3 linked regions of the Caenorhabditis elegans genome follow. The protein of the gene in region 2 purifies or fractionates together with the protein of the main gene of each other region. This does not show direct contact. Each region holds a gene or a part of one and is shown on either strand. Other genes may lie near its edges.

Region 1 (7,011 bases), on a different chromosome or scaffold from region 2:
AACAGATATTCTCATTGTGAAATTGCTCGTTAATCGAGAAAAATAGAATACGATTCCATTTTGCTCCTATTTCTCTGTTAAATATTCCAAAAATTTTTTTAACATTTGCCCGTGCTGTGATCTTTTATATACAACCAATTTTTAAAGCTTATTAAAAATTTTACAAAGAAATCTTTTTAAAAAATCCACCCGTCAAATACCTGTTTTCGTCAATCTAATTATTTCTAGGCCTGGAAAGAGAGACCCCGCCCATTTTTCGATCGTACCACTACAGATGCAAGTGTGCTCTATTGCGAAACTAATTTTAAATTCGAAATTAAGACATTTTTTCATTTTTAGTCGATTAATTAATGAATAAATTTCTCTGGGAATTTTCTAAATTAATTTTTAAAGCAAAAATCAAGTATTTTTACATCCAGATTTCAATGAACGAGCCGCAGCAACCTTCAACATCTGAAAATGCCACTGCAGTGACAAGTGAAGAGCAACCACAACTTATTGATCCATTTATCGATTTTGAATGCCACGTGTGTCATTTAAAAGAGAGAACATTGTTCGGAGAACTTAAAGTTATTGATGGACGGTAAGAATTAGAATTTTAATTTTATTCCTAAATAAAAACTGATTCTTTTCAGCTACGATTCTCCGGTCTACTTTATGAGGGATCCATTTAAGCCGCCATCCCGTGATCGGGCCAAGAAGCCGTGTCTCAACGATTTCCTGGTACTCGGAACTCCATGCTCTGCTTGCAATCAACCCGTCTGCATGTCAGATGCTTGTTCACTGTTTTTCGGAGCCAATTTTTGTGCTCCGTGTGTTAGTAGAGAGCGTCGCCGATTTCCACCTCAACTTATTCGGGGAATTATTACTAAATACGAAGCAAACATTTAAGATTTTTATTTTTGTGCATTTTACGTTACGGAAATAAATAATGACATTTGTGTTTTGAATAAAATCAATGATCGAAGGAAGATGTGAATATCTCACAATTAAAATACAGAAATAATGAAGGTGGTCGGTTAATCAAGATTCTGAACAGGAAACAAGATAAGATTTAAAACAATAAAACAAATAGATCACTCGGATGCCATGACAACATCTCCATTTCCAATTTCTTCATTCTTGACCTCGCCATTAGTCGGTGTTGGCTTTTCCTCCCATTCATCATCAGAAGAGTCTTTCCGGGCGGCCTTTTTCTCGAGAAGCTTCTCACGTAGCGAAGATTCATTCTCGTTTTCTTTCTTCTCGGTTTTTCTATCTTCCTTATCACGTCGTTTTTCAGGTGATCTGCTTCGACTGCGCTTCTTGTCACGCTTTCGATCTTTGGATCTTGAACGAGACCTTTCACGTTTACGATCACGAGATTTGGAACGTCTTCTGCGATCTCTGCTTCTCGACCGTTTCCTATCACGATCCTTGTTGTCACGACTGCGACTGCGGCGTTTACGATCTCTGCTACGGCTTCTCTTCCTGTCACGATCACGGTCACGATCACGACTTCTAGATCTTCGGTCGCGACTTCGCCTTCTGTCACGATCTCTGTCACGGTCACGATCACGACTATCCCGTCTGCGACGCGGTGACGGCGAACGACGACGACGTGGTGATCGCGAACGGCGCCGATCCCGATCATCTCCGTTTCTACCCATCCGAATCGCTTCCTCGATTTCTCCAAGAGCTTGTTCGTCTGTTTTGGCTTGTGGTTTGATGATGGCAACGCGAGAGTGTTGAATTCTGAAGAAAAATATTTTAATTATTGGATTTAAAAGTTTTAAAATTTAGTTGACTTATTTTAAAGGTAGAATCGCGTGGACGGGGTTTTTAATTTTTAAAAAAATTAAAAATTAAAAAACAGACAACCATAAAAGAAAAACGGCGGAAAATTAGCCAAAATTGTGTCAAAATATTTTTTTTTGTTTTTCTTTTATGGTTTTTTTTTCTGAATTTGAGAAAATCACCATTAACCTTTAAAAAAATTAAAACTTTAAACTCACTTCAATGGTCTCTCCTTAAACTCGAATCCATCGTTTTGAAGTGCATTGCACACTGACGCTTGCTGTGAGAATTCAACATAAGCATATGCACACGGCAATGCATCCGGTCCCGAGGCCATTCTGGCGTACATTACCTGAAACGTGAAAATATATTTAATTTTGTTAAATACAAATGTTGTATTTTTTTCAAATTTCTAATTCATTTCTAAATTGTCGGTTGCAAACTTTCTACTCGTTTTGAAATTATGTGCACAATAATCGAGAGAAACTTAGAAACTATTCGGTCACCGAAGGAAGTTTCTACAAAAACCGTAATCTGCAGAATATGTTTCGATAACGATACGGTAATTTTTCTTTTCAATTTCTAATTTAGCAATATATTTCTAGAGTTCCGACAGTCTGATCAAGCCATGCTCTTGTAGCGGAACAGTCGCCTACGTTCACAATGGATGCTTGGAGCAATGGGTCCGTACAACATCAAACATTCAATGTACCATATGTCAGGATATGTTTGAGTTGATTCCGGCAGGATTGAAAGATTGGAACAAAATTACTCTGCCGAGACCACTTTCGGAACAGCTCGAAGACTATATGGAATTCGGATGTACTCTTGCGTGGGTGGTGTATATGCTGAGATTCGCATATGTCGGACTTCGTTATGGAAGCCGTTCGATGATCGAGAATGTCGATATGGCTATTGGAACAGGAATGATGCGCAGCTTTTGGTGGATGACATTTTGGTTCAATTTTCTTTACTATGGAGCAATGTGCTTTGTTTTCTTCGAGAAATGGCTTATTGATAATACAATTTTTAAGTTCAAGGATAGGTAATTTTCTATGTTTCTGATAACTTGATTTCTAACTGATATTTTCTAGATCTGGAAGCCCGTCAAGCCAAATTTCAATTGCAAGTCGATCTAGCAAGAGAGGAATGAAAATGCCAATAAATGCACATTGATAGAAATAAATCTTTCAAAAATATCGTTTTTAACCTACCTCTCCAAAATACATGTTGAACAGTTCGAGAACCTCGTTTCCATCAACACCTTTCGGAAGATTTCCAACGTAGACTGTTCTTCGAATTTCTTCGACTTTGGCAGAATCCGTGTCAGCCGGTAGAGGTGGATAAGCCGGTAGTCCGAGCTGCTCCAGTGTCGGATCGACTGTAATCAACTGAAAAATGGAATAATTAGACGGCGCGAAAACTAGAAATATTGCAATTTCTAAAATATCAGGAATTTGAAAATTTCTAAATTTAATTGCTTTCATATCCGACGATGCGCAGCATAGATTGGCGAGGATACACTGAAACTGAAAATTTAATCATTCGGCGAGTACTAACAAAGTTTTTTGATGATTTTCTGGATTACGCTTTCGGGATTTTACTGCATTCGTCATTTGGGTAGTGGCCAGTAGAACTGTAAAATGAACAAGTAACGTCCGTTACCACCAGACGCTAGTTGGAAAACTAGTGGGAAAATAAACTTACCAAAGCAGATCCATCGTCAGATTCTTGAATTTTATTGGTGACGTGAGGTGGGAGCTGTCGCTGACCAGCCGTTGTAGATCCACCACTGTTGAAAAAACTCTCCTCGTCCGGAATCACAGCTGAAAAAATGAAACTTTATGAAAAAATGCAGCTTTCAAAAAACTCACGATTCGGATATGGTAGGCAGACTATCGCGCAATCGATGACGACTGTGTTGGTGAGATGCTGAGCTACTTCGACACATCGCTCGTCGTCGAACTTGATAAAAGCAGTTTTCAGGAGAGTATTAGCTGTGATATTACCTTCTGATGGATAGACCTGAAAGAATAAATTTTTAATTGAAATTTTTAATCGAAAAATGTGTAAATTTGGAATAATAAACCAACCTTCAAATCCTGAATTTTTCCGAGATAGTTGAACATGTTGTAGATGTGATCCCTGGTAGCCGATGTCGAAATGTTGGCGACATGGAGAATTTTTACTTTTTCTTTCTCCTCCCCCGACATTCCTGAAAATAAAATAATCAATTTTCGTCTTGAAAAATAGAAAAACAAAATGTAGTTCAATAAATTTAAACCGGCGACGTAATTTCAAAATTAACATGTAAAAATCTATCGAAAAGGCATAAACTATTAGAAAAAGTTAGATTTTTATCGAAATTTCGTTTAAAATCGATAAAAATCAGATAAAACATGTAAAATTCAGGTTAAATCGAAAATAAATGCAGCCAAATTCGAATAAAAAAGAATCACTGCATGTTTGGCAGCGTGCCAACATCTTGTCGCTGCGAGACCCGTCCACTGTCTGCGTCTCTTTTTGGGCCCTTTTCGAAAATTACAAGTAGTTTTTTTCTCTTTTCTTTTGTTTCTCCCGTTGCCCGTTGTATTTTTCTTCGGAAATTAAATAAGTTGGTACAATAAATTAAAAATAAATGGAATTTTGATTATCTATTACTTTCAGATATGTTACTAGTGCAAATCATCGTAAAAATTTGAATTTACAGCTTTGAAATCGTTTTTATTATTTTTTCTCTTGAATCGATAAATAATTCTTTCGCATTGTAGCAATTTTCAACCATCTTTATTTCAGAAAAGAAGAAAAATGGCCGATGATGGAGTCAATCCGAAGGCCTTCCCACTGGCCGATACCAACTTGTCTCAAAAGCTCATGGATCTCGTCCAGCAAGCGATGAACTACAAACAGCTCAAGAAGGGAGCCAACGAGGCCACCAAGACTCTCAACAGAGGAATCTCTGAGGTAAGTGTATCGTAACCATGTTGAATTGCATTCCCATTTTCAAAATCAATTTTCGAACCAAATTAATTGAATTGTTTCAGATCATCGTCATGGCCGCCGATGCCGAGCCACTGGAGATTCTCCTCCATCTTCCACTTCTCTGCGAAGACAAGAACGTTCCATACGTCTTTGTTCGCAGCAAGGCTGCCCTCGGACGCGCTTGTGGAGTCACTCGTCCAGTGATCGCTGCTTCAATCACTCAAAACGAAGGATCTCAGCTCAAATCTCAAATTCAGAAGATCAAGGAGGACGTTGAGAAGCTTCTCATCTAAATCCTTCTTTTATCAATTTGTTGTTACGTTACCTCATTGTTGTTATATGATAATCCATTCATTGTTTTGTTGTCCCAAATTGCAAATACATCGTTTTTGAAAAAGAATGAACGTTTCTGCGAAACATGGACATCTGATTGTTATCAAATTGCATAATCGGCTACACTGTTCTAAAGTGTATCTTGGACACACAAGTACTTCATTGGCGTATGATGATGCGAGTAAATAAACCTCCCGGAACCGGTTGCATTCTAATTCGACCCCCGTTTGCCCTAGAATGTGTCTCTTCCTAACCATTGGCTTGCTAATTCCACCCCAAACGCCGTCACAACCCGATAGGGCCGCCAAAAAAAAGGCAATCGCTGATAACTACAGGGAGTCGCTTCCTCCGGGAGAAAAGACGGTTTCTGGCAAGGCAAGCACCGCCCATCTCCGTGTGCTCTGTCTCTCCATTCCCGCCGCTCCGTGTTCCCACCAACATGCAACAGTTTTCTCTACTCTTCAAACTATTTCTAGCCACAGTTTTATTATCTGTAACTTATCGCTTTGTATGTGATCGGTTATATTCAAATCACAAATCCGATGTTAGTGGATTTGTCGATGAACGTTTCGAGAAAGTTCGAGAGGTTTTTAAGTAAGTTCGACCTTCCTGCTCTCTTTTTTTCTCATTTTTCTACCCGTGTGAAGTGACAAATGTGTTTGACTGAACTGAAATTAATATTTACTTTGCCGGCATGCGTACAGGCAAATAATCTTTTTCTATCGTCATCTTTATTTTATTTTAAAAAAAAGAAAAGGAAAATGTCTTGCAAAAATCCTGGAACTTGTATTTTTACAGAAAGAATTTCGAAAATGGATGGGAAATCGAAGGATCAGCATTCGCTGTATTTGTTGATGGAAAGAAAGTCGTCGATTTATGGGGTGGATATGCTGATAAGCAGGCGGCAAGGAAGTGGGCTGAGGTAGATTTTTGAAAACAAAAAAAATAAAATCAAGCATTTTTCAATTTCAAACTTTTTTACTATAAATCTTGGGTTTTTTGCACCAAAAATACGGTTCCCCAGGTTTTTTTTCGATTAAAAAATAATTTTCCTCGAGATTTGGTTTTTTTTCCAATAAGTAAATTTGTTTTTATCGAAAAACTACGAAAAATCGATAAGAAAAATTCCGCTGCAATATAAGTTCAAAATTACAGTACTGTTTAAAGGTGCACACAAAAATACGGTTCCATAGGTTTAACCACGACACATTTATAATAAATGCGAAAAGACGTGCGCCTTTAAAGAATACTGTAACTTTTAACATCTGTTGTTGCGGAGTTTTTATCGATTTATCGTAGTTTTCTCATTATTTTCGTAAGCTTTTTTTGTTTCCATAATGTATTAAGTAATTAAAAAAATCATGAAACTTGTCGTGTCGAGACAGTATTTTTGACTCAAAATTTCGCACCTGAATTTCCAAACTTTAACCCAATCTAATACTTTGCCCTTATTTGGAATAATTTATCGTCGGTTTCCCTCATAGCTTCGACATATATTTTTCCACTGTCGTCAGATTGATATGAACTGATAATAATATCAATTTGATACGGGGAGTTTTTCGGTTCAAAACGGTTTTTGAAGTCTATAAAATTGAATGGAATGGCACAAAAACAGAGAAAACATTTTTGAAAAAAGTTGTGACATATCAGCAAAACACAAAAATTTTTAAAAAAATTGATTGTTTCAGGACACAATAACAGTGACGTTCTCGACTACAAAAGCTGCCGCGTCATTAGCAGTTGCACTGCTCTACGAGCAAGGAAAATTGAGATATGATGACCCAGTATCCAAGTATTGGCCAGGATTTGGAACTCATGGAAGAGATAATGTTACTATAAATATGGCACTTTCTCATATGTCTGGAATGGCATGGTTTGACACTCCAATCACTGAAGAAATCGCCGCGGATCATGAAAAAA
Region 2 (7,511 bases):
AAATCCATCCACCCACCGTCAAGTTACACGCGCGTTTTCAGAGCGAAAAAAAAACAGGGCATAAAAAAATTTTAGACGCCCGCACCCGGACTCGAACTTTTGTCTAATTTGCAAGCTTAATATCTCGGCTCCTGTAAATCGAAATTGGCTCAAAATTCACAAGAAAACTTATCTCACTGCCGTAGTGCTGTCATTAAATTTTCGTGAGCTTAGGGAGAAAACTGACAAAACGCCAAACTTTCAAATTTTAAAAAATAGTTGAGGGTCATTTTGAAAACACCTTAAGCTCCATAACTCGGCGAGTTTTGATGGAATCAATTTGAAATTTTACACGGAAGCTTCTTAGTGACCTATACGTCTCTGTGTTAAATTTCGCTTTGATCGGCCAACGGGAACCCTTTGAAAAATGGAAAAACGCTGTAATCCTAACCCTAAATAGCGTCAGTGGGAGCTAACGCTCCCCCACTGACGCCAAGCCTAAGCATAACCCTCATAAAAAGTTACAATAAGGTTTTTCCTTGCGCTTGGAGCGCAAAAGAAAAGAAAAAGAGCTATTTAGACTTAGGGTGCCCAACTGGAATAAAACATTGGAAATCCCAATCCAACCAGCCTAAGGGCCCGAAAAACATACTAAGATGCTCAACTTGAATAAAATATTGGAAATCCTTATGACACACTTAAGCCTAAGGGCCCGAAAAAACTAGGGTGCCCAACTGGAATAAAATATTGGAAATCCTTATGACACACCGGCGGTATGGCGCGGCTTAAGCCTAAATAGCCACTTTTATCAAAATACATTTGAGCGAGGCGGTTGTAAACGCTCCCCCGCTGACGCCAAGCCTAAACCTAATCTTATGCCTAAGCCTAAGCATAAGACTAAGCCTAAACCTAAAAATCATCAGAGTCAACATCACTGTTCCCTGCATTTGCAAGTCGTCGGCACGGCCACAGACGTCCACCTACAACTACAGTACCCAGCACAACTTTGGAGCTTATCACTGAGCCAACTTCCACTGAAAGTAATCGATTTGTTTATCAGATTTCAAAAATCAGCACTCCTTGATGTTTCAGCGATTCCAATAACTACAACGACAGCAGAAACAACCACAACAACATCTGAAGAGCCTACAGTAACCGAAGAAACGACGACGGAGCTCGTCACTGACGTCACAATTGCTCTGCCAGACGAGGAATTTGAAGATATTAACGCAAAAATCGAAACGGAGAACCATCAGTTGCATCAGATAGAGGAGAATGTTATTTCAGGTAGGTCAAGTGGCCTAGAAATTCGCAAGTTAGGCCACCAAACGATTTAGGTTTTCTAACTAGAAGGCCGCGTAAAAAAATTAGTGAAAATTCGGCCAGCCATTCTCCTTTAATTTTACATGCTTCCGTTTGGAGTGTGGTCGAGGTTTCTTACTAGAAAACCTAGGCCACGGTAAAGTATTTAATTTTAACTGTTTTATATCAGTAAAACATTCGGGAGAATGAAAAATGAATATTGCTGAAATTTTAACGGTAATTTTCGAAAAAAAAAACACAATTTTTTAACTCTCACCACGATTTCTATGAAATTCAAAGTTCGTGGCAAGACCCAGATTGAAAAAAAATCGATGATTTCCAGCCCTATCCACGCCAACATCTACAATATCCGCATCACCAAGTCCACCATCACCACTTCCGACGACTTCTGGTCCATCACCACCATCACCACCTGCGCCTCCACACGAATTCTCTCTCCATGGGGCCGGGCCGCCCGGTTTAATGCCTCCATCGGATGATATTGTCGACGAATTGAATGGTTCTTCTGATTTCTTGCAGGCCGCTCAGAGGCTTCACTTGCTCAGAAGACTTCTTCAATGATTTATGTGTAATGAGCATCATAATAATCATCAGAATAACTTTCCAGATACTCAAAAAGTCGTTTAGTTTAGTGTTTTTTGTGATTTTTGAAGATTTCTTAATATTTTCAACCCATTTGTTGTTACGGGTTTATGAGTCGATTCCAGTGAATAAAGGTTTTTTTAATTAAATATTTATTTTTTCCTTTTGTTTGACTTAAATTTTGTTTCAGAATCGTTTGAAAAAACTTATAGTTATGTAATTAAATTTAATAAAAAAACAAACAAAATCAACTTTTAAAAAAACTACCGTATCCACTTAAAGGCGCATCCCTCATAGATATGGGTATATATATATCATGATATGGGTCTTACCACGCTTAACCTCTGCGCCTTTAAACAAAGGGTACGGCAATTAAACAGTTTCAATTTTTGATTTTCTCATGCTTTTCTCGATAAGATAATCCCTGAAAATAAAAGCTTTTTGAAACCAATTTTTATCTCAACATTTTTTTTTGGAAAGGACAACATAACAAATAAGGAAAACAACAAGGGCAAAGAATTGTAAAAAGAAAAAACAAGTGATTACGATAAAAATTAATTTGAGGAGGAGACAGTTTTTGTGTTTGAAGAGATTTCAGATAGAATGTGTTAACAATGGGGAAAATCTGATAAACCTGATACTAGCAAGAAATAACGAGTCAAATCAACAAGAACATACAGTCTTCGTGGTACAGAAACACGAATTACAACAAAAGAAACGGATTATCACTCTCGTCGGCACCCCAATTGCATCTATTCTTCATCAGAATCAGTATCGGCCTTCTTTGCTTTCTTTTCCTTCTTCTTCTTTTTCTTCTCTGGCTCTGCTTCATCTTCCTCCTTAACCTCTTCGATCTTCATCTTCTTGATTGCGTTCGTGCTTTCCTCGTTATCATCGAATCTCTTGTGCTTGCGACTGGCTGGAGTGTCAGCAGACGCGTCGTATTCGTATGTTTCACTCTTGAACTCGTACTTGTCGTGTCGGTGGGATCCAAAGCTCTTATTTTTGGATGGCCCACGTTCTGATTCGGTTCTGAGCACGTTCTCAAGGGCGGCACGGCATTCGATTCCGATCTCGTTGGTGGCGGATTCGTCGGAAAGTGCGTCGATACGAGTGGCAAGAGAGCACTTGGCAGCGAGCTTACGAGCCATCTGGAATTAAAAAAAAAAAATTTTTAAGGTCCTTGCCGATTTTTAAGTTTAACAGAAAAATCAATAAAGTATTTAACTAACCTTTCCCTTGACCTTTGGTGGGGCTTGTGTGATAAGTTGAGCGTGGTAGATCAATCCGTACTTTGGAGTATCCTTCTTCGTCTTGAGAGCACGGAAAAGAGCCTTCTCGGCTCCAAGAATTTGAATCGTCGAGGCTGGTGCCTTGGCCAACGAAACGAGAGATCCAGCGTGAGAAATGAGACGGGCTCCGACGAGCTCTCCGAGAAGAACTGTGAGATTTGGAGCGAGAGCAGTCATGCGATTTTTGAGGTAGTCGAAGAGTTGAGCACTGAAAAAATTTAAAAAATAATTTGTTTTGAATAAGAAATTGTATAAATTCACTAACCGGTAGGCAGAGAGCTCGATGACCTGGTCACAAAGACCCTTGATGTGAATGAGATCAATATCAGAAATGTCAGTTCCCATTGAAATCTCAGCATCCTCTTTGACCTTCTCCTCCAACTCCTCTGGAAGAATCGATGACAAATCGGTGTTGATGCAGTTCTGTCGCATGCCAATGGCCTTGATAATCTGAAAATTAAATAATTTAATACGGATAATTCACCACTGTGAGCCTACCTTAGCATAAGCTTGATGATCTTGGATAGTCTTTCCGAGCTCTGGGAAATGCCATCCGTACCATTCTCTGACACGCATAACATAGTTGTTCAACTCCTTGTCAAGATCATCGAGCAAAGAAACAGCCTGCACGATCATGGTGTCGATCTTTTCTGGGTTGAATTTGACCTTGTAACGAGCGAGCGAGTGAGCCACGGCGAGATTCATGGCATTCATCTCTTCCTTGTGCTCGGCGAGCAAGTCTTCGATATGAGCGCGAACTCCTCTCATCAGCTCGTTGATGGAACTGTCATGGACGCAATTCAAAGAGAGCTTCTCCTTGATCAAGTTTCCGAGCTTGGCATCACCGACAGCCAATTTTTCGGTCTCGTCGACGCTCGACTTCAAAAGCTTCTTTAACGTCTTGCTGAGCTTTCCCTCTGTGATCTCGGAAGTAGCCTCGACGGCTCCAGCGGTAGTCTTGAACTTCTTGAAAGAAACCAGTTGCAAGCTGTAAGAAAAACAGTTTTAAAAAATGAATTTAATTTCTAATATATACTTTTCTTGAGCCTTCTCGGCAGTGCTGAACTCCTCCCAGATGTTATCCACATTCTTCAGCTTCTTCTCATTGCTGAGCTTGAATACTGCATAACCGGCTGCGACCTCGAAAAGGACCAGCATCTTCTTACCTGTAAAATAGCAAATAAAGTAATGAACCGGTTAAGAGAATAAGGACATCATAAGATAAGATTAAAGACGTAAAATCGATATTTTTAAATTACACTCTGAAAATAAAGTTTTTAGACTGATTTTTCAACATTTCAGGGATATTTTTGACAAAACTACATTTAAATTATCATTTTATACACTTTCCTTCAAAAATTTAGATAAAAACTTGGAAATTTGGCTGAAATTATTCGAAAATAGGACCAGTTTAGCCAAAAAAAGAGGAGAAAATATCGCTGGCAGACAGCCAAAGAAAACAATCGTTGCGAGACCCGCGCGCGGGAGTTTGAAATCAACGCCTGTGTACTCCTCTCGGACAAGTCGTTCCACACAAATATTCTCGCAGATTAATCTGCAGATTTTCGTGTGATTAATTGATAAATCTGTGAAAAACTTCGAAACCGGATGTTTTTCTCGTGGAATGTTGCAGAACAATTGACTTCTTCGAAATTGGATCTTAAAAATGTAATTTTTTCCTTCAAAATATGAAAAAATACCGGCAATTTCCTTGCTTGCAAACTTTTTTATGGCGAAAAGAGAATTTTCGCCATATATTTCTGTATTTTGCACATTCTTCTCGTTGAATTATGCTTTAACATAGCTAGAATTGATTTTTCTTCGAAGCGAAAACCTTACAATTTAAAAAATCGATAATTAATATATTTCACGTGACATTTCGATTTTAACTTATTAAAAATTCAACTTTTTTCATATAATTCTAGAATTTTTGCTTGTTAAAAGCTTTTTTTTATCTTTAAAAATAAATCTCTTCGTTAATTGCTCTTTTTTGCCAGTTCACCGGTCGATTTTGCTCATTTTATCAGAAAATCAGTTCCCATAACTTTTCTGCAATTATTTTCTCGATTTTCTCCTCAAAAATTCAGAATTTCCAACCGGAAAATCCCCATTTAGAAGAAAGTATTGCGAAAACCCGAAAATTCGGTGCGAAACGCGTCAGCACTGCCCATGTTGACGCAAATCGGTTTTCTCGAACATTTTCGCAAAGCCGAGTGATTCATAAGGTCATGCCACTCACTTTTGACCCGCTTTTACCCGCATTTTTGATTTTCTGGAACGTATTTCCATAGATTTTTAGTTAAAAGTATAAATTCGCAACGAAGATTCAAAATTTAAATAGTCAGTGTAAATATCGATTTTTTGAAGATTTCGAAGAAAACCAATTAAATTGATTTTTTTCCAGAATGTACAACTACAACTACTCCCGAGGAAATAAATCGATGGGAAATCCGCCTCGATTTCACGAGTTAACGGATATGCCGGATAATGGAGCGTCGACGTCGGCGGCCGCTGGAATGTTCACAAGACAAGTGAGATTTTTGGAAGTTTCACGGAAATGGAGATCTGCGAAACATTTTTCTCGAAGAAAATATTATAACAATGCTCCGAAATCATCCCCTGAAAAAAATGCTAAACAAAACATTATGATGACAGAATTTACTGAAAAAGTTGAGGCTGCGACTCAGCTCAATTAAAAAAGTTATTTTTAATTTTTCGCTCATTTTAAGCAAAAAGAATCAGCTAAAACGTTGAAAAATCACTGGGCGAAAAAACGGAATAAAATAAATATTTTATTCGAGCCGCTCCGCTGTGCAGTTGCGTCGCGGTCATGGCCGCGGACTAGGTTCACAAATTTGAAATTCTGCCATCTCAAGAAATTAAAAAATTTTAAATTAAAAAATATTTTTCTTTGAAGAAAATTGCACCGTGCCAAATTTTCTTCAAAAAAATTTTAAAACGAAAAATTTCAGGACTCACTTGCTCTCGCCGCATCCCTCCAACAACGTGATCGGGAACGAAATCCTGTGGATTTTATGGAAACCCAGCTGGATCTGGATAATTATCTACAATGCTTTACCGATTTGGATGTTCCTGCGGATAATGTCGACTTAAATGATGCTGAACTTCAAAAAGCAAATATTCTCTACGATGATGACTCTTACGAGCAGCCGCAACTAAATCCATACGAACGGCACGTGGCTTATGGCCCCGGTTTTCGAAATCCCGGTGAATACGAGGAACAAGACGGATATAAAATGAATTTCGAGGTGAAGACCGAGGAGGAGAAGAAGCCGGAAACGATGAAAACTTCGAAAACTATGACAACTCGCCGAGCTATTAAACGACCTTCGTGTTACGACGATTATCAGGAAGAAGGAGAAACATCGCTTTCGGATAACGATGAAAGTGTCGATGATTCTTATTACAAACCAAAAAGTTCCAAAAAGACTGCTGCAGCGGTACCAAATTTCGTGCCAAAAACCAAGGCTCGAAAATACAATCTAAAGCCGGATAAGGAGAAAGTGGAGCCCATCTATAAATTGAAACGGGCTCGAAACAATGATGCCGTCCGGAAAAGTCGAAATAAAGCGAAAGAGCTGCAACTGCAGAAGGACGAGGAGTATGATGAGATGAAGAAAAGGATTACACAACTTGAAGCAGAACTACAATCCGAGCGGGAAGGCCGGGAACGTGACCAACAACTTATCAAGCAACTAATTCGCGAAAAGTGAGGTGCCAGTAGCGAATATTTCTATATTTTTTAATTTGGAAATTTTCAGGGAATCGACATCGAAAGGACCAAGGAAAAGCTCTCGAAATGCACTGGAAAGCTTTAATAAATCAAATTATTGATTCTTTTTTTCTTGATTGCTTCGTTTTAGATTCCATTTCTTATGTATCAATGTAATCGCACCCCTTCCCCGGTTGGAAAATAATTTTGAAATTACTCATTCCATTCTTAACCCAGTCTATGTTTGTGTAATAACATGTTTATATATTGCGAAAAATTGTATATTTATTTTAGGAAAAAAGAATTGACTAGAATACTGGGACATGGGGACAAAACATGGATTTCGAAAAAGAAAAAGAAAACCTGAACTTTGAAAGCTATACCCAAAATTATATATGAGAAATGAAAATTATACTTTACATAATGAAAGGAACAATTTTCTTCTCAAACTTCTTGAATTTCTCCAGCCTTTTCGGCGCCTTCACCGTCTCATCACACCGCCCATCAACACATTGACCCCAGTAACAAATAGGATAATCCTCGAATCCTCTGCAAACTCCGTTTCGACGAACTTTGCTCACACAGCTCGGCGGATGCTCGTT
Region 3 (7,511 bases), on a different chromosome or scaffold from region 2:
AGGATCTCAGCCACAAGCACAACCAGATGGTGCCCCAGGACCTTTAGGAAACAATACCGGAGCTGCTAATCAACAGCAAAACCCAAACACCAACTGATTTTTCTCATCTGGTCTTTCGGTTCCCGATTTTCTGATCTTTATTCTCATCACATTTTTGTATTGGATAGCTTCTTATGTCGAAATACGGGCTGTTCTTGATTTTCTCCTTGTTTTTTCCCTCTTCATTTTCTGCTCTCCAAATCATTCAAACACGGGGCTTCAACACAAACTCAAATTTTTGAGATATATACTACCCCTTTCGCAATTTTTGTAGCTTTTTTAAATTTTTATGCGTGATGTTCGATTATTATTTTTGTTTTATTAATATACATATGTTCACACTAGAATCTCTGCCTTTTTTCCTCGTCCCCAAAATTACCCTTTTCATGCAATTTTTAGATTAGAATAACGAAAAAACGGCTTGAAGTTAATGATGGTTGAATTTTCAGAAAGGGTGGTGGTCTTTTTCTGTAAATTCGACGTTTTCTGCCCGCTTTTTCGTTATTTTAAAGACTTGTACATCCGATAGATCGATTGCGCCATTTTCGACGTATTCCTCCGTGTATAGAAATCTTTTTAAATTGTGTGAAAACATTTAAAATCGCGCTAGATGTCTTTGTCTATTTATCGTTCCCATAACCTTTTTTCAATTTTGCGTCCTTGTTATCTGATATCATTACGATTTGTAGAGGTTTCTCTTTCATTCCCCTTTTACCAATTCGCAATAAAGAACGCGTCATTTGATATACTGAATTTCCAAATTTTTATTAACATCACAGATTTGGATATTACGTAATCATCAGAAAGATATAATTTCTACATTTGTAGCGCGTAATATCTCATAGCGACTTTCTACCGTATAATTGAACTGAAAAATAATTAGTACGGTAGAAAGTCGCTAGAAGATATTTCGCGCCACATAAATAGGAACTCTTTTAACGGTTTTGCAAAGACTTTCTATATACTGAAACAATTGTGCAACTTAAATTTATTGAACAACGTCGGGTTCGGGGGATATTTAAACGTTTACAAAATAATGCAGAATGGATAGTTTGATGCTTCCAGAGGAGGAGAAAAGTGAAAGGTCTAGGTTAAAAAAGAGGGAGTCGTCAATTATAAAAAAACATAATAAATTTTCAAAAGGAGAACGGAGGACTGAACCGTGAGGGAAAATCGAAGAAAATTTAGAAAATGGGAAAAGTCGAGATATTGTACAAAAACAAGGCAGAACAAAAAATGAAGATTCGAAGAAATCATCAGTTAATTTTCGAAGCATTACTATAGAGTGCATCGACAACCTCTCCCATTGCATGAATTGTATCCAGAGCAGTTTGGTACGCCTCATCGGGAACAGCAATTTCAAATACAATAAGCATTCCCTCGCCTTGATCAAGAGATCCCGAAAGTTTTTGATCGAGAATCATTTGGGACAACTTCTTTTCGACCTGAAAGTTTTATAAGTTTGTGTAAAAATTAACAACTTTTTTGCATTTATATTTAAAAAACAATATTTTTGGTTCTTACCTTTGATCTATCAATTCCAATCTGTTGAGCAACATGTTCAATTTGAACGAATGAGTATGGCTCAATAATACGGCACAGATCTTTTTCAAGCATTCGTTCACTCAAAGAATGGAAATGTTTTCGGACAACTGGATCCATTTGAAGTTCCTGTGGGAAAGAACCGAATGCAACTTGGAAATCCTTAAGAGATCTCTTTTGTGCAGCTGCGGCGATCGCCTTCATCGCATCCAAATCAGAACCATTGTATTTAAGAGCAAGTTTTGCGGACAGAAGACTGTTCACCTCATCTGGAAGGTCAAGCATCACCTGAAAAATTTAATATAGGATTTAAATATAATAGTAATTATTTTTGAGTATTACCTTGCACAGAAGCATATACTTAAGAGCGGTGAGGGCGGACACTTTTTCATCAACCGAATCGTATCCCTCAAATGCTTCGTAAAAGTATGAGAAAGCTGTCTTGAAGTCCTTCTCGTCGGCAGCGTGAAGAATTCCCGATTGAAGATCGAGAGCTGCTTGCATGCGAGGATTCACATAGATTGCGTTGGCAGTTGTACGAGCACCAGTGAGAGAAGCACGAGCACGACCAATATTGGAAAGATTATAGTACGCTTTGCTTTCCTCAAGTTCGACTTCCACGAGAACGTCCTTATCGTCGACTTTTTTCAGTTCACGAATCAAATCGGCAGCTGAAAAGTAGATTATCAGTTATTTTCAAATATTACAGCGAAATATATTACCAAGTGGAAGAGCCTGAGTGTATCTTTGAAGATCATTATAGAGGCGAACAAGACGAGCAGTGAGTGTTTGACGGAGGAAAGTGCGATTTTGCTCGGTGGCCCATTGAATACATTCTTTAACGAGTCCAACCTGAAAATAGTTGGGTTTATATTTGAAGCTTATTATTCTGCTCACCTTAATATCTCCATCTTGATCATCAATTTTAAGACATAGATCAACAAGATCTCTGACAAGTTTTGCAGCCTTTGCCTTTCCCAATGACACCAAAAATGGCCTCGTTTGTTCAATCATATTTCGGAGCTCTTCAGTTTGCTTATTTTGAGCCAAAATATTTCCCAATTCCATGATCGAATCTTCTTTCTTCTTGATATCATCGTCCCCAGATGCTGGTGATTTTACTTCAATTTGGGACAAATTGGAAAATTCTGAAATATGGAAAAGGACTCACCGAGATTGGTGAGGTGACGAATGACGTTTTGGTCGTTTTGATGTGGAAGTGAAGTCATTGTATCCATAATGGTTCCTCCAGACATTTCAGGTGCTGAAATTAAGATTTTAATTGCAGTAAAAAGTATTGAATTTTATGGGGTTATTCAAGTAATGTAGCAAAATGTATTAAAATACATTTGTGACGTCACAAATGTATTTAAATACATGTTTTTGTTTACTTGAATACAGCTGTGACGTAACTTTTCTACACTTTTTAATTTTCCGACACTACTTGAATAACCCCATTAAAAATGAAATAACGGAATGGAAATTGTCGGAGCCTCAGAAATCAATAAGTGCTTGCGGAAAACACACCAACTGATTATATCATTTTAAAATATGATAATTATCATTTAATTGATCAATTATCAAAATATAAACGGATAAAACATTAGAAAACTGGTAAGAAACAGAGAGTAAGACAATGACGATGACAATTCCCGCCAGCGTATTTTTCCCGGTGTGGTACGGTACACAAATGGTGTTTGCGGACTTGAAGGTGACGCGAAAATGCACAGAACAGAAAATTCAACAAAATGTTGTTTAAAATACAAATAAAGCTTATTTTTTTCGGGTTGATTAAAAAAATTCGAGTTTATTAAAAATTTACTTTCTCGTAACAATATGTTCTTCGTTGTGGTTAAATTGCACTGATAAAGACCAATAAGGTCAAGCCGCCAGTTTAACTGAAAACGGGGAGCCCTGAAAATAAAGAGTTGTTTTCGAACACCAGCATCGGGGAGCTGACTATGAGCAAATAGCGGGCTCGTATGTAAAAGAGCGGTTAGCACGTGAATTTTTGAGAGTCCTCTTGGGGGAAAAGTGGTGAATTTTAAAATGCTGTGTGGAGATCCAAAAAAAAATCAATGCAGGCATGCATGAAAAACAGGTTGATCAAAAACTTATTCTTTTTTGGAATACAAAATTGACTTTAAAACACCAAGTGCAAATAAATAATATTGAATTAACTCTTTTTCACTTTCAAGAGGTAAAGTTCAGTTTTTCAATAAAAAACGTACCTTTTCCAATATTATTAGTGTCTTCTCGTGAACTCGTTTCTCTCATTAGGACGAAAAGTTGTGTCAATTAAAATAATTTTTTGAAGCAGCTTCGAGGATGTCAAAACTTCAATGTAGATTTCTTTCATATATTTCTGAGCAGCTGACTCTCATTTTCAACTAAAAAACAACTAGTTATTTGGCACATGTTCTGGGTCTCGCCACGACTTATCCCCAAGATCCAATACATTCGTTTCAGAGAAATCTCACTTGATCCCTCGAAATGTTTGTCGTTCCTCGTCGTCTGTCATCTTTTTTATCACTAGGTAATTGATAAATTAAATGATTGTATCATCTCACACTCTAACCGTCTGGTGTCTTTTCATCTCACACGATATATGTATTTCTCTTATCATCTGTTTCTATTTCCTACGGTCATTCGGTCATATTCAGTTCACGAATATCGTCACTTGGCACGTAGATCATACGTTATGGAGACACCATCTATTGATATTCAAAGTGAGTTTATAATAATTTTTTACCAATAATTCTTGATTTTTCAGACATTCGGGCAAAATATCTAAACTCTCATGATCCATATCTACTCGAATCAAAGTTACCAACCACGTCACCATTCGAACTTTTTGATATCTGGTTTCGTAACGTCGCTTCACAATCTGACTTAACATTCGAAGAAATCAATGCAGTATCCTTATCCACCGTCGGAAAGTGAGCATATTACATTCAAAATGGAGAAAAAAACCTAGAAAGTATTAATTCAGAGATCTTCGTCCATCATCCAGAATGGTTCTTCTGAAAGCGTACACACCAACTGGCTTCTCGTTTTACACAAATTATACTAGCCGCAAAGGAAATCAATTGGAAGAGAATCCGAATGCCGCGATGCTCTTTTATTGGCCTAAAGTCAATCGTCAGGTATAATTTTCAACTGCTGAAAATTTGAAATCGAGATTATTTAATTTCAGATTCGAGTTGAAGGTGTTGTTGAGAAGCTTCCAGATGAGATGGCCGTCGCTTATTGGAATTCTAGACCAGTAGCAAGTCGAATCGGATCAAAATCAAGTGATCAATCAAAAGTGGTTCCCGATAGAGAATTCTTAGAATCCAAAAAAGTTGCACTGACAGAGTTATCTGTACGGGAAGGAGCTCAAGCAATCACGAAACCAGAATCCTGGGGTGGATATCATTTGATTCCTCGATATTTTGAATTCTGGCAAGGACAATCGGATCGTCTTCACGATAGAATAGTATTCGAAAGAGATGTTGATGTGTGGCTTCTCAAGAGGCTTTCACCATAATTCCATTCACTTCTATAGTTAAAGTTCGTGTAGATAAAAATTAAAAATATTTTCCTTGAGAAATACGTCGTATTTATTTATGAATTAGACCATAAAATTTTTTCTTACCAACGGAATTACTTCAACAAAAAATTACAAGTTAAAATGAATCAAATTAATCACAATGTATCCTGTTATATTCTTAATCACTTGTGAATTAGTTCTCGAATTATAATTTAAAGAATATGTATTTGATTCTTTAATGATCATTTTCATTTCCGAGTTATTTCAAATCAAAATGTCAATTGAAAATTTCAATTTGAAATAATAGCCCATAGAAAGGTAGGCTATCATTTTCCGAGGTTTGAATAACTTCAAGAACACCGCTTTTGAAGTTGTATTTTTTAGAGAAGAATATAGAATTAAAAATGCTAATAAATTGCAAAATTGTATTATTTACAGAAACAAAAATAAATGGTACATGATATTTTGAGAAAAACAGGGGAATGTTTCAAGAAATAATATTGGGACGAATATTGAGATTACACGAGTATTTAAAATACATGAATTGACTCGCAAAATGGGGAATTGATATACAAAGTGATAGCTTAAGTGAACTTGAGATAATCTGGTACGTAAGTAAATATATAATAATTATTATGCTGAAAGTGATAATTTTCTGGTTTTCTACGAACTTTTACAGTAAGCTTATCTGGAAGGCCTTCAATTTAAACCGACTTCGGTGCAGCATCTGCTGGATTCGTATCTTCTGGAGTTTTTCGTGTAGTAGATACAACCAGAGGTGACGATGTTTGGTTTGGCGATGGACACGGGAGAATAGTGTAGATTCGACGCATTTCTGAACCCAGAAGTCCTTGCTCTTTGATTTCCAGATATTTTCGGTACAGCTTCAGTGCATATCTCGCATCAACCACCGAGTCGTGAGCTTCCATTTGTATAGTTTCGCCTGAAAAATTTATATTTAAAATCTGAACCGAGCTAGACAAGCGAAGTTAAAGGAAAGGCCTCACCAAGAATCTCCTTAACCAGAAACTGCAATGATAACATTCTCTGGGTGCCAAGACGCATCAGAGTCACTGTGTCGATTATCTGTGATTCTGCCACCTGAAAATTAGCTTTTTAGCTAGAACTTTGCAAAAACAATCTTACATGCACATTGAGCACTGTGAAATCATTATGCAGAGCGTGTCCTACAAATGTGACTCCTCGTTGAATCAAAACATGCATTCGTAGAAGAAGCCGCTTGTGGGTTGTCAAGTATTTCTCGGAAGTCGTTGGACACAGATCAGCTTTCACGATTCCACTGAAAAAAAGTGAATAAAGATTGAATTCGAAATAAGTGAAGCATACCTAAACTTCGTGAGATAGTCGACAACTTCTACGTCATCAGTGAGCTTCACGTGATCGTCGAATATGATCCTTTCGCCTGTCGAGTCGACACAGGAGGCTCGACCAACTGCTCTCATCTGCACGGTTTTTCCGTCGAATTCAAGTAGATCGGTCTGTAAATTGAATTTTTTTTTACTAAATTCCGGATTTTTAAATATAGGGTATTCGAAACTTAGTTACTTACCTTAATCTTTATAAACTCTGCATCCAAACCGACTAATTCCTTCTCTTTCGGCAGCTCTTCCAATGATTGAACGGCCAATGACGTCATCCCGTTGCTCGCCAAATTTTCTTCCGCGAGGAACAAATCATTGGAAATAATATCCTCACTCGTTTTCACATCGAAGTTCTTCTTTTTATAAGCCAAAAGCGCGGGAAGTTTCCATCTTCCGTCTATGTGCCTTGCTTCATGATCATGCAATCGGCTCACTAGCTGCTCATTGATTAAAGTCCAGGACGATGAAATAACGGGACTTTCTCTCAACAATGTAACTGGATGAGTCCAATTTACATCGTTTTCTCCATTACCAACAGCATGAATCATCGCATCAAGCTCATAAATCACAGCAGACGGCTCATCATAGTCTGGGAGATCCGAAACATCAGACAAACGAACAATCCCCTCGCAAAGTTGAGCAGCGATTCTGGATGGAATGTAGTGTGCCCACTCTGGTAAATCCACGTCTTCAAGAAGTTTTGTCTGTTCTGCAGGCCAATCGACGAGTCCATGAACAAACTTGCATGTTTTCCTAAATTATCAAGATATTTTAATATGAACAGAATTACAAATTGAATTACTTGTTGCGACAATCCGTTCCAAATCTGCAATTTTTCTTCTCAGAAGGTGACTCTGGCACCGTTCCTAATGCAGAACTTCGATTGCCTCCTGGTTTTCGTTCAAAGAGAGATAATTGCCGACGCCAAAACTCAACAAATCCATTCGATGAAGCGTTTGTGTCAATTAGAAGAACGGGGGAGAGCTCCCGAACTTTTCTCTTACACTCCATTCGGC

What was found.
Region 1: the proteins of nol-58 (region 2) and snu-13 fractionate together in Caenorhabditis elegans (co-fractionation; one large-scale study listed by BioGRID). This does not show direct contact.
Region 3: the proteins of nol-58 (region 2) and rpn-6.1 fractionate together in Caenorhabditis elegans (co-fractionation; one large-scale study listed by BioGRID). This does not show direct contact.

The regions. Positions count from the first base shown.
Region 1 is NC_003280.10:10,656,188-10,663,198, reverse strand, and holds snu-13 (Small nuclear ribonucleoprotein associated homolog 13), read left to right. Parts: upstream 1-4,572; 5' UTR 4,573-4,584; coding exon 4,585-4,740; intron 4,741-4,820; coding exon 4,821-5,051; 3' UTR 5,052-5,172; downstream 5,173-7,011. Other genes in the region: D2089.8 (Cysteine-rich DPF motif domain-containing protein 1), read left to right, coding at 426-583, 636-891; marc-2 (RING-CH-type domain-containing protein), read left to right, coding at 2,240-2,338, 2,382-2,821, 2,871-2,952; rsp-7 (putative splicing factor, arginine/serine-rich 7), read right to left, coding at 1,077-1,734, 1,995-2,128, 2,991-3,167, 3,484-3,602, 3,651-3,801, 3,870-3,989; lact-3 (Beta-lactamase-related domain-containing protein), read left to right, coding at 5,531-5,685, 5,890-6,013, 6,780-7,011. UniProt on the Caenorhabditis elegans protein: Binds to the 5'-stem-loop of U4 snRNA and may play a role in the late stage of spliceosome assembly. The protein undergoes a conformational change upon RNA-binding.
Region 2 is NC_003279.8:3,263,925-3,271,435, reverse strand, and holds nol-58 (Nop domain-containing protein), read right to left. Parts: upstream 4,343-7,511; 5' UTR 4,335-4,342; coding exon 4,213-4,334; intron 4,165-4,212; coding exon 3,675-4,164; intron 3,627-3,674; coding exon 3,442-3,626; intron 3,385-3,441; coding exon 3,117-3,384; intron 3,036-3,116; coding exon 2,637-3,035; 3' UTR 2,324-2,636; downstream 1-2,323. Other genes in the region: pqn-72 (Prion-like-(Q/N-rich)-domain-bearing protein), read left to right, coding at 903-1,019, 1,072-1,266, 1,625-1,863; Transcription factor zip-4, read left to right, coding at 5,582-5,707, 6,149-6,906, 6,959-7,031; tyr-5 (Tyrosinase copper-binding domain-containing protein), read right to left, coding at 7,326-7,511.
Region 3 is NC_003281.10:6,958,096-6,965,606, forward strand, and holds rpn-6.1 (putative 26S proteasome regulatory subunit rpn-6.1), read right to left. Parts: upstream 3,907-7,511; 5' UTR 3,859-3,906; coding exon 3,813-3,858; intron 2,846-3,812; coding exon 2,753-2,845; intron 2,703-2,752; coding exon 2,479-2,702; intron 2,434-2,478; coding exon 2,304-2,433; intron 2,253-2,303; coding exon 1,924-2,252; intron 1,870-1,923; coding exon 1,564-1,869; intron 1,485-1,563; coding exon 1,296-1,484; 3' UTR 1,015-1,295; downstream 1-1,014. Other genes in the region: CCR4-NOT transcription complex subunit let-711, read left to right, coding at 1-97; F57B9.1 (Putative pyridoxamine 5'-phosphate oxidase), read left to right, coding at 4,283-4,310, 4,355-4,520, 4,574-4,727, 4,778-5,110; PolyA-specific ribonuclease subunit panl-2, read right to left, coding at 5,818-6,056, 6,121-6,214, 6,260-6,413, 6,461-6,612, 6,684-7,248, 7,298-7,511. UniProt on the Caenorhabditis elegans protein: Component of the lid subcomplex of the 26S proteasome, a multiprotein complex involved in the ATP-dependent degradation of ubiquitinated proteins. In the complex, rpn-6.1 is required for proteasome assembly.